2 linked regions of the Diceros bicornis minor genome follow. Each later gene encodes a partner of the first gene's protein in a complex. Links are inferred from orthologs where the notes say so. Each region holds a gene or a part of one and is shown on either strand. Other genes may lie near its edges.

Region 1 (7,148 bases):
CTTCCCAACTTTTATGTAGATCTAAAACTATCCCAAAATAAAAAATTTAAATAAATTTTTTAGAAAAGGAAAAAAAAAAACCCCTCTGCTGACTACCTGTTACCTATAGGATAAATCCAAATCCAATATTACTGACATTGGAAAACCCTTCACAATCTGGCCCATCTACCACTTTAGACTAGTTTTCTGCCACTTTCTACATATTCAATGCTCTACCCTCAATTAACTTTTTACTGTTCTCCAAATGTACCAGATTTCAGCGTATTCGTTGGGTCAATGATTAGGTCTGCCCACAAAGTCCTGTTTAACCCAAATACACATGATGTGTTGGTGGTACTCAATCTAAAAGACATTAGGTATTCCCAGCTTCTTGAAAGAGCAAAGTGAACTGCCTTCTCTGGTACCTTGCCAATCGCCCAGACAACCTCCCATACAATATCTTCTGCCTCTACCGCTATAGGACATTGGTCTTTCAAATAATTCCAGTAAGATCAGGCGAAATATTAACAAAGACAAAAACCAGTTTTGATCTCGATTTTATAGGTTTTGCAGTATAATCTCAATTTTGTAAAAACATACAAACCAAAAAGAGTATTTATGCCCAGGAAAAGAGAAAAAGAACAGGAAGGAAATTCATTAAAATGTAAACTATGTGTATTCCCAAGTGGTGGATTATAGACAATATTTCTCTCTTTTTTGTGCATTCTCATATTTCCTTTTTAAAAATTATGTATATAATGTACATGTATAAATGTGTAAAAATATGTATAAAATGTATATAATTTAAAAAATAGGGGGCCGGCCCCGTGGCTTAGCAGTTAAGTGCACGCGCTCCGCTGCTGGCGGCCTGGGTTCGGATCCCGGGCGCGCACCGACGCACCACTTCTCCGGCCATGCTGAGGCCGCGTCCCACATACAGCAACTAGAAGGATGTGCAGCTATGACCTACAACTATCTACTGGGGCTTTGGAGGGAAAAAATAAATAAATAAAATCTTTAAAAATAAAAAATAAAAATGTATATCAAATATATGTACTTTTTATTTTAAAGCCAAAAACAGAAACAAATGCAGTATAACAGTCACACATGTCAATAAAATAGAACCCTACAGAAGTTCTCCACACACCACCTCCTTGACCATGACCCTCAACCTCCTCCCCAGAGGTAACTCCTAATTCCTGATAATCAAGCCTTGTTTTTCATGTTTCTTTGTTTGTGTTTTGCCCCTAGCTATGCATCCTGCATTTGAATATTGTCTGAGTGGAATCACATCATTTGGGTTCTGTTTCTTTCTCTCTCTCTCTCACTCTTGCTCCCTCTCTTCTTTTGCTTAACATGATGTTTTTGAGATTTCATCCATGTCACAGTGTGTGGCTGTGTATTTTCATTGCTATAGAGTATTCATTCCACTGAACGGATATGCCACAATATATATTTCCAGTTTACTTTAGATGGACTTGGGGTTTTTGTTTTGGGCACAATGACACATCACGTTGCCATGAACATTCTTAAACGTTTACCTTGTTTACAATGTGCATGCACAAGTTTTTCCAGGGTTTATACACAAGATTAGAACTGCTGGGCCATAGGCTGTGTTTATCTTCGACTTTATTAGATAGTGCCAAACTGTTTTCTAAAGCATTTGTACCATTTATACTCCCACCAGTAGTGTATGAGAGTTCCTACACTCCATATTTTTATCAAAACCTGATATTGTCAGTGTTTTTTTTTTAACACCTTTTTATTGATGTATAATAGGCATTCTTTTCAAAGACTGCAAATTAAAATTTTTGCCAATCTGGAGTTTGTAGTGGTGCCCCACCGTGGCTTCAACTTGCATTTCCCTGATTGCTAATGAGGTTAATGACTGCTTAATATATTTATACTTAAAAACAAAAACAGAAAGTGAAATTTAAGTAAATACGCTATTTACAACACTGACAAAAATGCATCGTACTTTTTCTTTTTTCTTGGAAGTGCATAGACCTTAGGACAGTTTAACTCTACTTACCTACCTCCCAATTTATATCCAGGGTGATTATATACACCAGTTTGCCCAGCAAAGTCCTGGTTTACGCTTGTTGTCCTTGTGTAACTATCAATGTCTCACTCTTTCACTCTTGAACTGTCCCACATTGTACATAAAATAATATGGTCATCCTACTCATATGTCATTGTATTATGTATTTTTATTCTCTCTATCTCTGTCTCTCTCTGTGTGTCTCTGTGTCTCTCTCTCTCTTATATGTGTCCTCCCAAAATTCATATGTTGAAGCCCGAACCCCCAATATGATGGTATTAGGAGAAGGGACCTTTGGGAGGTGATTACGTTTAGATGAGGTCATAAGGGTGGAGCCCCTGTGATGCAATTAGTACTTTTATAAGAAGAGGAAGAGGTGCCAGAGCCTCCTCTCTCCACCATGTGAGCACACAGCAAGAAGGCAGTGGCCTGCAAGCCAGGAAGAGGGCCCTCACCAGAGCCTCCTCTCTCCACCATGTGAGCACACAGCAAGAAGGCAGTGGTCTGCAAGCCAGGAAGAGGGCCCTCACCAGAGCTTGACTATGCTGGCACCCTGATCTCAGACTTCCAATCTCCAGAACCGTGAGAAATAAATTTCTGTACTTTAAGCCACTTAGTCTATGGTATTTTATTATGTCAGCCCACGCTGACTAAGACAGATATATATCTCCCTCAAGACATCATTATATTGTTTCATGCAGTCAATATTCATTTAGACTTACCCATCTGTTTACCGTTTCATTAGCCTTCAATCCTTTTTGCATCTCTGGTCTTCCCTCTGGGATCATTTTTCTTCTGTCTAAAGAACTCACTTTAGTATTCACTTCAGTGCAGGTCTTCAAGAAACTCATCCTGTCAGTTTTTGTTTGTCTTCAATCTTGGAGAATATTTTCAGTGGGTATGGAATTTCAGGTTGGCAGTTATTTTATTTCAGCACATTGAAATTTGCCCACAGGCCGTAGTTTGCCAACCCTTCTTCTATCCAATAAGTCTTTTTTTTTTTTTTTGGTGAGGAAGAGCGGCCCTGAGCTCACATCTGTTGCCAATCTTCCTCTTTTTGCTTGAGGAAGATTGTCCTTGAGCTAACAATTGTGCCAGTCCTCCTCTATTTTGTGTGTGGGATGCCACCACAACACAGCTTTATGAGCAGCGTGTAGGTCTGCAACCAGGATCCAAACCCGTGAACCCCAGGCCGCTGAAGCAGGCTGCCAAAGTGGAGCATGTGAACTTAACCACTATGACCCTGGGCCGGCCCCCAAATGATATTTTTTTTAAAACTTTTTAAAAATTGAGATATAACATATGTACAGTAAAGTGCACAAATCTTAAGTGCGCAGCTTGATTAATTTCTGCCTATGTCTAAGCCCATCTTACCCCAACCCAGATCAATATACAGGATGTTCCCGACACCTCAGAAGTCCCTCTCATGTCCCGAGTCAGTAGTCCATCCCCCAAGGGTGACTACTATTCGGACTGCTGGAACTGTAGATTAGTGTTGCTTAAAAAAAGAAAAAGAGGGGCCGGCCCGGTGGCGCAAGCGGTTAAGTGCGCGCGCTCCGCTGCGGCGGCCCGGGGTTCGCTGGTTCGGATCCCGGGCGCGCACCGATGCACTGCTTGGCAAGCCATGCTGTGGCGGCGTCCCATATAAAGTAGAGGAAGATGGGCACAGATGTTAGCCCAGGGCCGTCTTCCTCAGCAAAAAAAAGAGGAGGATTGGCGGATGTTAGCACAGGGCTGATATCCTCACAAAAAAAAAAAAAAAGAAAAAAAAAAAACCCCAGATATCTCTGATAATCTCCTAGTTACCTAAATATAGTGAAGTTTCCTCTGGCATTGATTGGTGGCCAACGCCTCCTACTTGCAATTCCAAGCTTATCCTGTCTCTTGTCTAGCTTCCCTTTTTCCCATCCTCTAAGTTTAGATGAATACCAATGTCCTAGTTATTAATTTATCGATTCTGGGAAACTACGTTGTAATACCGGAGCGGGTCTCTGCACACCACGTTTTCTCCTTTGGCAGCTGGCTCGATGTTAGGCTCTGCCGATAGGGGGTGCTGGAGGACTTTTCTGCTTCCTGTTTGCTTGTTTGTTTCTGCTTCCCATTGCTGCGATGGATGGCTTGATCGGCTTGGTGTGCAACTGGCTCCCGTGGCGTTCTCCGGGCGGTGGGCTGCTCTTCCAGCTCCTCAGAGCCACCTTGGGCGCATGACGTGTTCTTGCAGCAGTCGCCCCATCTCCTTAGAGGTCTGAATCTCAGCTCGGCGGGGGCGGGGGCGGGGGACCTCCTCGAACTTTCTAAGTTCCTTCTTCGTTCACTTTTACCTCAGCCCTGGAAGTGGCAGCCTCTTTCCGCAGTAGTTATTTCTGTTAGACGTTTGAGTTCGCTACATTTCAGTAGTTAACCACCCGTTGCCTAGTTAACAATTCTTTATATTCAACGTTACCTGTTCAGATCACTGGTGTGGTTCCTGTTTCCTGACTGGACCTTGATTCTGATTTTGATCCTCCCCGCTCTGTCTCTCTATCCCTCCCTTATAAATCTCTCCCAAATCCATGACTTTCAAATTTATATCTCCAGCTGTAACTTTCTCTAAGATTCCAGTTTAGCATGATCAGTTGTAAGCTTGCTCTGATTTTCTTCCACCACTTCCTTCTCCTGCTGTGATATTGTGATTTATAATAAATATATATTTGGTCTTCTACCATTCCTGGCACAGAGCTCCTAAAACCCTTGGAATTTCCTGGATAAGAGCCATGAAAGTGCCTTTTGTTATGTTAATGAAGTGACTTTTGGAAAGCCCTTAGGTAACAAGAATGGGGCTGGTTGCCAGGGGAACCAATCAGGAGATTAGAGGATTGGAACTTTCAGTCCCTGGAGGCCTGCCCCCATTCCTTACCTTGAGGGAGAAGAGAGAGGCTGGAGGTTGAATCAATCACCAATGGCCAATGATTTAATCAACCATGACTATGTAATGAAACCTCTATAAAAACCCCCAAAGGATGGGATTTGGAGAGCTTTCGGTTTGGGGAACGTCTGGAGGTGCTGGCAGAGTGGCCCCTTGGAGAGAGCATGGAAGGTCCGGGCCCTTTCCCCACACCTCGCCGTGTGCATCTCTTCCGTTTGGCTGTTCCTGAGTTATATTCTTCTATAATAAACCGGCATTCTATTAAGTAAAATGTTTCTCTGCGTTCTGTGAGCCGCTATAGCAAATTAATTAAACCCGAGGAGGCGGTCGTGGGAACCTCTGATTTATAGCCAGTTGGTCAGGTCAGAGGTAGAGGTAACAACCTGGACTTGCAGTTGGCATCCTGAGTTGGAGGGGGTCACTGGAACCTCCAATTTGTAGCCATTTGGTCAGAAGCACAGATGATAATCTGGACTTGAGACTGGCATCTGAAGTGCGGTGGGGACAGTCTTATGAACCCTTAACCTGTGGAATCAATGCTATCTCCGGGTAGGTAGTGTCAGAATTGGGTTAATTGTAGGCCACTCAGCTGGTGTCAGAGCATTGTTTACTGGTGTGCGAGGAACCTCTCCACACATGTTGAAATTGGTGACTAGAACCCCAATTACTTGTGTTTTTCACTTCTGTCAAATACACAGTCCCATCCTCCTCCTTTGCAAGTCACAGACCTGAGTCATCTTTGAATACTGAAGCCACAGAAGAGCGAAGTATCAGTTATGGCATCCTATCTTTTAATTCTATCTTATCTACAACAATCTTGTAATTGGCCCTCCCTTTCCCTTCCCACCGTGACTGCCTTAAGTCGGGTACTCATTACAGGTCTCCAGTATATAGACTCTACATATGCTCCAGATACACTACTTTATACCTGGGGAAGTGCAGCTCTAATCATATCATTCTCCTCAAAAACCTAGGTGGCTCCCCATGTTCTAGTAAATAACATCCAGACTGCTTTGCCTGACCTTCAAGGCCCTCCACGAAATGGAATCAGCCAGCTTTTACCAAATCACTCCATTCTATGCTCTTTGCTCCAGCCAAATTGAGTGACTTGCTGTTTCCAATGCATCTCTCAAATTTCTTTACCTTTGTGCTTTTGCCTGAGAAAGCCCTTTGGAGCTTCCCCATGAAGTCTTCCCGAATGCATCCTTTTGTCTAGAAAGAAATCCCTCTGTGCCTCTACTTAACTCTCTAAACAGTTGACCTACACCTGTTCCAGCATCTTTTCTGTCATATCTCAGTATCCGGTGGGGGCAGGTCAATTATACCTGGACCTGGCCCCTCCCTAGTTGTGGGACAACAGCTTAGGGGAGCTGGAAAGACAGTGAGAGTGGACATATCAAGGGGCTTGAGGTCTAAGAGCAAATTACCATTGATTCACAGACAGAAGCAGAGGATAAGGGACCCAGGATGAAGTAGCCGGCATCCTCAGTAAATCATAGTAATCCCAGGAAGGTGAGGTTTGAAAGTGCAGATTATTTGGCATCAGGGAACGTCATCCAGAGGAATGAACAAGGCACCATCTAGTAGCTACAATTCGGTGACAGTTCCCCACTTCGTGCAAGGACCTCAGGCCAAAGAAAAGATATACTGTGCAAGTTACTAGAACCGAAAACGAGGAGCAGAGGCCAAGGTAGAATCCAATGATAAGATCTCGAGCCCCTAGTAGGGGACTGAGATGTTAAGCAAGTTTCCAGAACAGGAACTCAGGTGCAGTGATGAAGTCAGAATCTTGGATATAAGAATTAAGGCCCCACAGCCCGGTGGCGTAGCGATTAAGTGCATGCGCTTGGCCGCTGGCGGCCTGGGTTCAGACCCCGGGCGCACACTGATGCACCGTTTGTCAGGCCATGCTGTGGCGGTGTCCCATATAAAAAGTGAAGGAAGATGGGCACAGATGTTAGCCCAGGGCCAATCTTGCTCAGCAAAAAGAGGAGGATTGGCATGGATGTTAGCTCAGGGCTGATCTTCCTCACAAAAACAAAAACAAACAAACAAGAAAATTAAGGCCCCCATGTCAGAACCAAATGATGAGGAAGGGCAGCTGGGTGCTTATGTCCAGACTTCCAGGGGCTGGAGTCTGTTAAATTCATCCTGGGACCTGGATCAGTATTGATTTTACAGGTGTAGGCAAGACCTGACACATTCCTTTCTCCCTTACAATTA
Region 2 (6,293 bases), on another chromosome or scaffold:
CATATATCGCTTAAAACGAGACATATCTGCCTATCAGGCTGGGAAACTTCCCCAGAGCCCCTCCGGGCAATCGCCTAAGACTTCACGATGTTTAGACAAGCCAGAGCTGAAGGAGATTAGCAAAGATGCATGGAATCGCACTGTATTTGGAGGTCCTAAGCCCCTTCCCCACTTCCCTCATATAAACAGGTTAGGAGTGACAAAGCCAGGAGTAAAGCGAGGCCATCAAACTGACTTGGGTGTCAACGTCGCCTCCCTGGCGGCCCCTGCCGGCCTGTACGCAGGTGGGTCCCCTGTCTGCAGCCTCTACAGTCGCCTGGGGAAAGCGCCCTCAAACAAGCCCCTCCTGCGCCGCACCTTGCTCGAGGTCTCCTGGCCGAACGGCAGGATCACCGGGTAGCATTCCCCCACTACACAGCTCTCTCTCCCATACCATTTTCACCGATCTTCTTAGAATCCAATATGCCACCCATCTCCCTTCCAGAGCCCCGGCGGCTCCAAAAAGTGCCTTTACTCAGAAGCCAGGGCTTATCTCCCGGCTGCGACCGGGTCGCAAGACACCCTCCCCAGAGCCACAGCAGGGCCAGGACGTTGAGCAGGACGCTGCCCTGCGCCCCTGGCCGCCCTGCCGGCTAATTCTTGGATTTCCACCGTCAGGGGTTCGAGTACCACCGCCGGTTATTCCGGGGTCCAGACGCTCACCTGCTCCGCGCAGCTAACTTTGTGCAGCTGGCCCACGGGTAGTGCGGGGGCCGCGAGCTTTGGCCCGGCCTTGGACTTCGCCCGCACTTCGCCGCCCTGCATTCGGCGTCTGAGCTCTTACACAAAACGTCGGCGAAGAAATAAGACTATTCACACCCGGCAAGACCCCAGCGCGCCACACGGGGACTGCGTTTCCCGCGTTCTGACTGGCCTGCAGCGGCGCTTCCCTATTGGGCGCCGGGACATCCCCAGCCCCGCGGTCTCGGAGGCCAGACCCAGGGCCCCACGGGCGAAGAACTGCCCCCTCTGACGCGAGGCCCTCCTGTCCAATCGGAGGCGGAAATACCGCTTGCCCTAGTTTACACGTAAGCTGCCATATATATGTTCAGGGACAGAGGCCTCGGTTGCTTAGAAGCCCGCCATTTCTAAAATGCGCGTTTTTAAGGTAGTGATGCTTCCTTTTCTCAAACGGAATCCAAAGGCAAGCGAAGGACTCTGGCGTCTTATCTCTGTACACGCAAGAGTGAGGTCACTACAGCCCTGCGCCGCACTCCCCAGGCTCCGTCCTCAGCGCGGCGCTGGGTTACCCCCAGAGCTCCACTGCCCGCACCTCCCCTCCTCCCAAGCACCAAGCCTGAAGCCTACAACCCGGAGCCACTTGCCGGAGCAGTTGCTCCGAGTTTTCTACTAAGAGCATCCAGAAAGCCTTATCTAAAGAGCCTATGTGCATTTAGATCTGATATTTATAGTTTGGCGCTGCGTTAGCCCTTTTCTTGACGTTTTGGGGGCCCTGAAAAGGGCCTTTTGGAGTCGGGAGATAAGCCGCAGGAACAGCTCAGCCGCCGAAGCCGTAAAGGGTGCGGCCCTGGCGCTTCAGCGCATACACCACATCCATGGCCGTGACCGTCTTGCGCTTGGCATGCTCCGTGTAAGTCACGGCATCGCGGATGACGTTCTCCAGAAACACCTTCAGCACTCCCCGCGTCTCTTCGTAGATGAGCCCCGAAATGCGCTTGACACCCCCACGGCGAGCGAGGCGGCGAATAGCAGGCTTCGTGATGCCCTGGATGTTGTCCCGTAAGACCTTCCGGTGGCGCTTGGCGCCTCCCTTGCCCAGCCCTTTCCCCCCTTTGCCTCGGCCAGACATCCTTCTAACAAACCTTGTCCTGGGTGGAAAACCAAGCAGCTAATGAGTTTGAGCCGTAGTCTAGAGTTTATATGCCCTGGTAGCGGACCTGTTTGAAAACCTGAAGCAAGTGGGCGGAGCTCTAGGTCCCAGGAGACTTTTTCCTCCTCACTATAGTGAGTCGAGCAAGCAGTAACCAAAACAAGACTGATTTTTTTGTTGTTTGCTTTTTTGGGAAAACTTGTTTTGTTATTTTGCCATAAAATGGAGGACTCAATAGAATTTCTGTTGCCTTTTCTCAACGCTTAAATAAAAGTAGGCCAGATCCTATGCGCGCTCGGTTTCTCCTCCCCACCCCCCCGCCCCGTCTCTCCCTCGAGCGCCTGCGAATTCTAATTATTTATTTTTTCCACCGGAATGCCTACTTTTATATTATCATTCTCAGACTAATGTGAAAATCAATGGGAACCAGGAATGCGTTACATTTTGTTAGATTTCAAAGCAATTGCTTTGTAGCTTTCATCCGTGGATCTTTTTCAGTCACTAGTGGGGGGAGAGGAAATTTTTTAATGGTTTCTTTTTCTCCTTTGTGGCTTCGCGGAGAAAGAATTAAAATTCTTTCAAAAGTCTAACCTTCCCCCCAGACTTTTCCCTTTCAGCTTCTTCTGCGCAATTTGCAGATTTTCCTGTCTTCTCCGCCCCACCCCACGCCCGCGTGTATTTCCTTTTCAACCAAATAATTATTTCTATGGTTATTTAGTTGAAATACTGTAAATTTCTTTTTATTTCATTCAAATCTGAGGTTCTCACATCTTCCACTTAAAAATTCAAAGTTTTTGTACAATAACGGGTGCCACGATCGTAGCTTTAAACAGATTTATACTGCACGTCCTCCGTCAGGAGGCTCTCCATCCTTTTAAGAGAATCCCTGAAAATAAAACTTTCAGTAGTGTCACCGCTCTAGGAGACAAGACTCTCCGTCTTCCCAAAAGATTTTACTGCGATAAAAGGCAGCAGTATTTAGAGGATGATTTCTAACTCTTTCCCAGGCACTTAACATGTAAAGAAACGAATATTTTAATAAATTGTGCTCCCTATCCTTAGTCTTGAAGAATCGCTTTTCCGGCAGGAAAGCTTTATGGTAAATATTTATTGTATATCTAAAAGCTTATAATTTGCTATCTCCATAACACAAAAAGTACTTTTTGTTTGCTTGTTTGTTTAAAGATGAATTAACTTTGGAACACTGTTTGGCTGAAAAAAACTCCTGAATAGTCAAAATGTACCGTGTAATTTTAATCCTTGACTCACAGGGAAGAAGAAAAGTCTATCAGATCTTGAAGAGATCAGGATTCTCATAATGGTAAAATAGATTGATTTATTTGTATTTACTAAGATTAAAAAATCAAAGTTAGAATATTTTCAAGCTAGAAATCTCTCTTGCTTCCAAGAATAGAAGGACAGTGTCCAAAATAATAGTAATAACTGTTAAAAATTTCCCATGGTATGGGCAAAAATTTATGCTAAATTTACACAACTCATTCCAGGTCAACATCTTGTCAATAACTGCATCAGAGATTTGTAGGCCATTCATTCAATTTATCTAACAGTCATTGGATGCTTACTAATGTATTTAATCTTCAAAATAACACTTTGGGATAGGTACAGGGGTTCAATAACTTGTGGAAGATTAGCTGGTAAGTGATAGAGCCAGGATTTGGACTGAGACGGTCTGGCTCCACGGTGACCGCTTTAGTCGTGACAATATACGACTTCTCAGCTCCAAAGACGTTTATTGACTCCCTACCGTATATACGTTAATCATTGTTCTAGGCAATAAGGGCATATACATAAATAGTTAAAAAATGTTATTTCAATGAAATCAAATCTTTATTAGGACGGGTGAGAGGGTAAATTTGTTTTAATTTACTTAGATTTTATAATCTACATAAAATATCGCTTATTTTAATGTGTGTTTAATATTACATCACGTAGTAGTGTAATTGTATGAGTGTGGAATATGTTGAGGTAAATGAAATTACCTCAATGAATTAGTCGAAAGTAATTTCTAATTCCAAACAAACAAAAAAAAACCTATTTTGTTCCAAATGCTATGACTCCGCAATTTGGGTGTATAAGGCAAGTTGCTGCCGTTCTTCCTTTAGTCTTTTCATTATCTGGTCTTTTCATGATCTCTTAGCGCTGCAATGGGCAATGGAGGGGCTGGGAAAGGGGAAGGCCAAGCGCCACCGGAATGTCTTACGAGACTTTATTTACGTCTAGTCTCGTCTACTAGGAGACTCAGAGTCTTCGTGGAGAACGTGATCCGAGGCCCAGAGATCAATAAGGAGCAAGTTAAGGCCAAGCAGCCTCAGCGACTGAGCTGCGCCTGTGGCTTCTCCCTGGAATCCAGAGGCTCTTTTCAGGCTCATAACCTCAAAGACAAGAGATGTTAGGTTTAGGCGAAGGGAGCTTGTTCCTGTCGTCTGTGAAGATAGTCTTCATGTCTAGTCTAGCACTCTAGTTTCGCAGCCTTTAGAAGCGAAGATTGGCAGCCTGTGAGCGGCAGAACTGTGCGGGGAGTCCAGTGTCACCTGGTCTGGTTTAGAAAGTTCAGACGGCCAGCTCCGTCCGAAGCCTCTTTTGGAGCCAGCTCCTCACACTGCAAGGTAACAGCAGGTGCCCCTGGGTTTGTAGGAGACAAGGCGTTTATTTAAGGGAACAGGAAACGTACCCTGCACTGGGCAGGCCGAATTCGGTAGAGAGGTGATTTCGCTTGAGGAGCAGTGTTGCCCGCAAGCACGGGCTCTAGAGTCAGTTAGCTACCTGGCTACGACCTCAAGTGCTAGAGGCATTTCTTGCTGGAGCGCTTCGTACTTGTAGACGGAGTAGCTCTTCCGGATTTTTGTTTCTAACCACGGTTCCGTAATTCTTAAGACGTTCTTTTCCTGGGAGTGAGCGTGGACGTTGAAATCTTAGGACCCAATAAATTCAACGGAGCCCTCAAACGCGGAGCAGGCGGGTCTGGCTATTCATATGAGGGGTTATGTAAATAAGGACTAGAAGTTTGCTCTTTTGATTGGATAGAGCTGGAGAAGGCGGTCCCTGTGCCAGCGCGCTAGCTGGCCGGGGAGCCTGCCTGTCATTGGTCATCGGAGCCGAGGATGTTGCGGCGCCCAATGGGAAGGCGCTGCCTAGTATCAGCAAAGTGTTGGTAGAGGCAGTTCGGGTGTGGTACATTGCATTCCCATTCTCCAACCGGGATCGCTGGGGGCTTTTTTCCGTCGCTGGAGTTTTAGGCGAGAGGTGAACATGTCTGGTCGCGGCAAGCAGGGCGGCAAAGTGCGGGCGAAGGCCAAGTCCCGGTCGTCGCGCGCGGGCCTGCAGTTCCCAGTGGGCCGAGTGCACAGACTGCTGCGCAAAGGGAATTACGCGGAGCGAGTCGGCGCTGGGGCGCCGGTGTACCTGGCCGCGGTGTTGGAGTACCTGACGGCGGAGATCCTGGAGTTGGCTGGCAACGCTGCTCGTGACAACAAGAAGACCAGGATAATCCCTCGCCACCTGCAACTGGCCATCCGCAACGACGAGGAGCTAAACAAGCTGCTGGGGAAAGTGACCATCGCTCAGGGCGGCGTCCTGCCCAACATCCAGGCCGTGCTGCTGCCCAAGAAGACGGAGAGTCAGAAGGCGAAGAGCAAGTGACCCTGACGCCGCCACGGGGGAGCTGGCTTCCCCAGCAAAGGCTCTTTTCGTAGCCATCCCAGAATGTTTTTGCATATGCTCTTGTCACCGAGGGCCGGCTAGATCTAGCGGGGAGGTGGGCGGCGAGGGCCCCGCCAGGGTCGGAGGCCAATAAAGTCGGTGAAAATCGTGTGGTTGAGAGAGCTATGTAGTCGCGGGGACCTGCTGGATGACCCCGGGGGGCGACCGGGAGACCTCTGGAGCAGGTACTGGTGGGTAGGCTTGAGCCACTTTCTAGACTGCTTTGGTCAGCACCCTCGAGTTGTTATGGGCGGATGGGGGAAACCGGGAGGGACCCACTGGTCTGGAAGTGGGCAGAGATGGGAGCTCTCCCTACTCGCCTTAAGGCAAAGGAGAGGCAGAGTAGGTGCGGGTGAGGCAAGGGGGATTATTTTTAGGGCCCCTTTCCAGGGCCTTTGCTCTCCTGTCTTCTCTTGGCAGTTCAGGACCCAGTGTGAGGAAAGAGATGGTGGCGGTGAGTTGGTCTCGTGCAGGGAGTTGGCTCTCTGGCCATACTTTTCAAAAGGTGGACTAACTTTCCATCTTGGAAGAGTGGCTCTGATGACACAGTGTCAACTTAACAGATTTTTCTTAGCCTAATAGTTGTTGTGTTTTCATGTTTTGGGTATCAGATATTTTTATATATACACTTATGTTCACATTTCTTTAAAATGAAGGAGACATTCAGTAGTATGTGTAATACAGAAGCGTGAGTCATGAGGAT

What was found.
Region 2: the proteins of SCML2 (region 1) and histone H2A.J are in contact, whole or in part, in a crystal structure (PDB 4EDU), measured with the Homo sapiens proteins. The link is inferred for Diceros bicornis minor from reciprocal best matches to the Homo sapiens genes SCML2 and H2AJ. Residues at the interface, in NP_006080.1 of Homo sapiens: Asp182, Asn185, Tyr187, Leu188, Cys190, Phe206, Trp209, Phe213, Pro239, Pro240, Gly241; in NP_808760.1 of Homo sapiens: Leu35, Arg36, Lys37, Gly38.

The regions. Positions count from the first base shown.
Region 1 is NC_080781.1:15,228,391-15,235,538, reverse strand, and holds the start of SCML2 (sex comb on midleg-like protein 2), read left to right. Parts: upstream 1-4,145; 5' UTR 4,146-4,224; coding exon 4,225-4,263; intron 4,264-7,148. UniProt on the Homo sapiens protein: Putative Polycomb group (PcG) protein. PcG proteins act by forming multiprotein complexes, which are required to maintain the transcriptionally repressive state of homeotic genes throughout development.
Region 2 is NC_080756.1:46,450,818-46,457,110, reverse strand, and holds histone H2A.J, read left to right. Parts: upstream 1-5,006; 5' UTR 5,007-5,140; coding exon 5,141-5,530; 3' UTR 5,531-5,701; downstream 5,702-6,293. Other genes in the region: histone H4, read right to left, coding at 1,538-1,849. UniProt on the Homo sapiens protein: Core component of nucleosome. Nucleosomes wrap and compact DNA into chromatin, limiting DNA accessibility to the cellular machineries which require DNA as a template.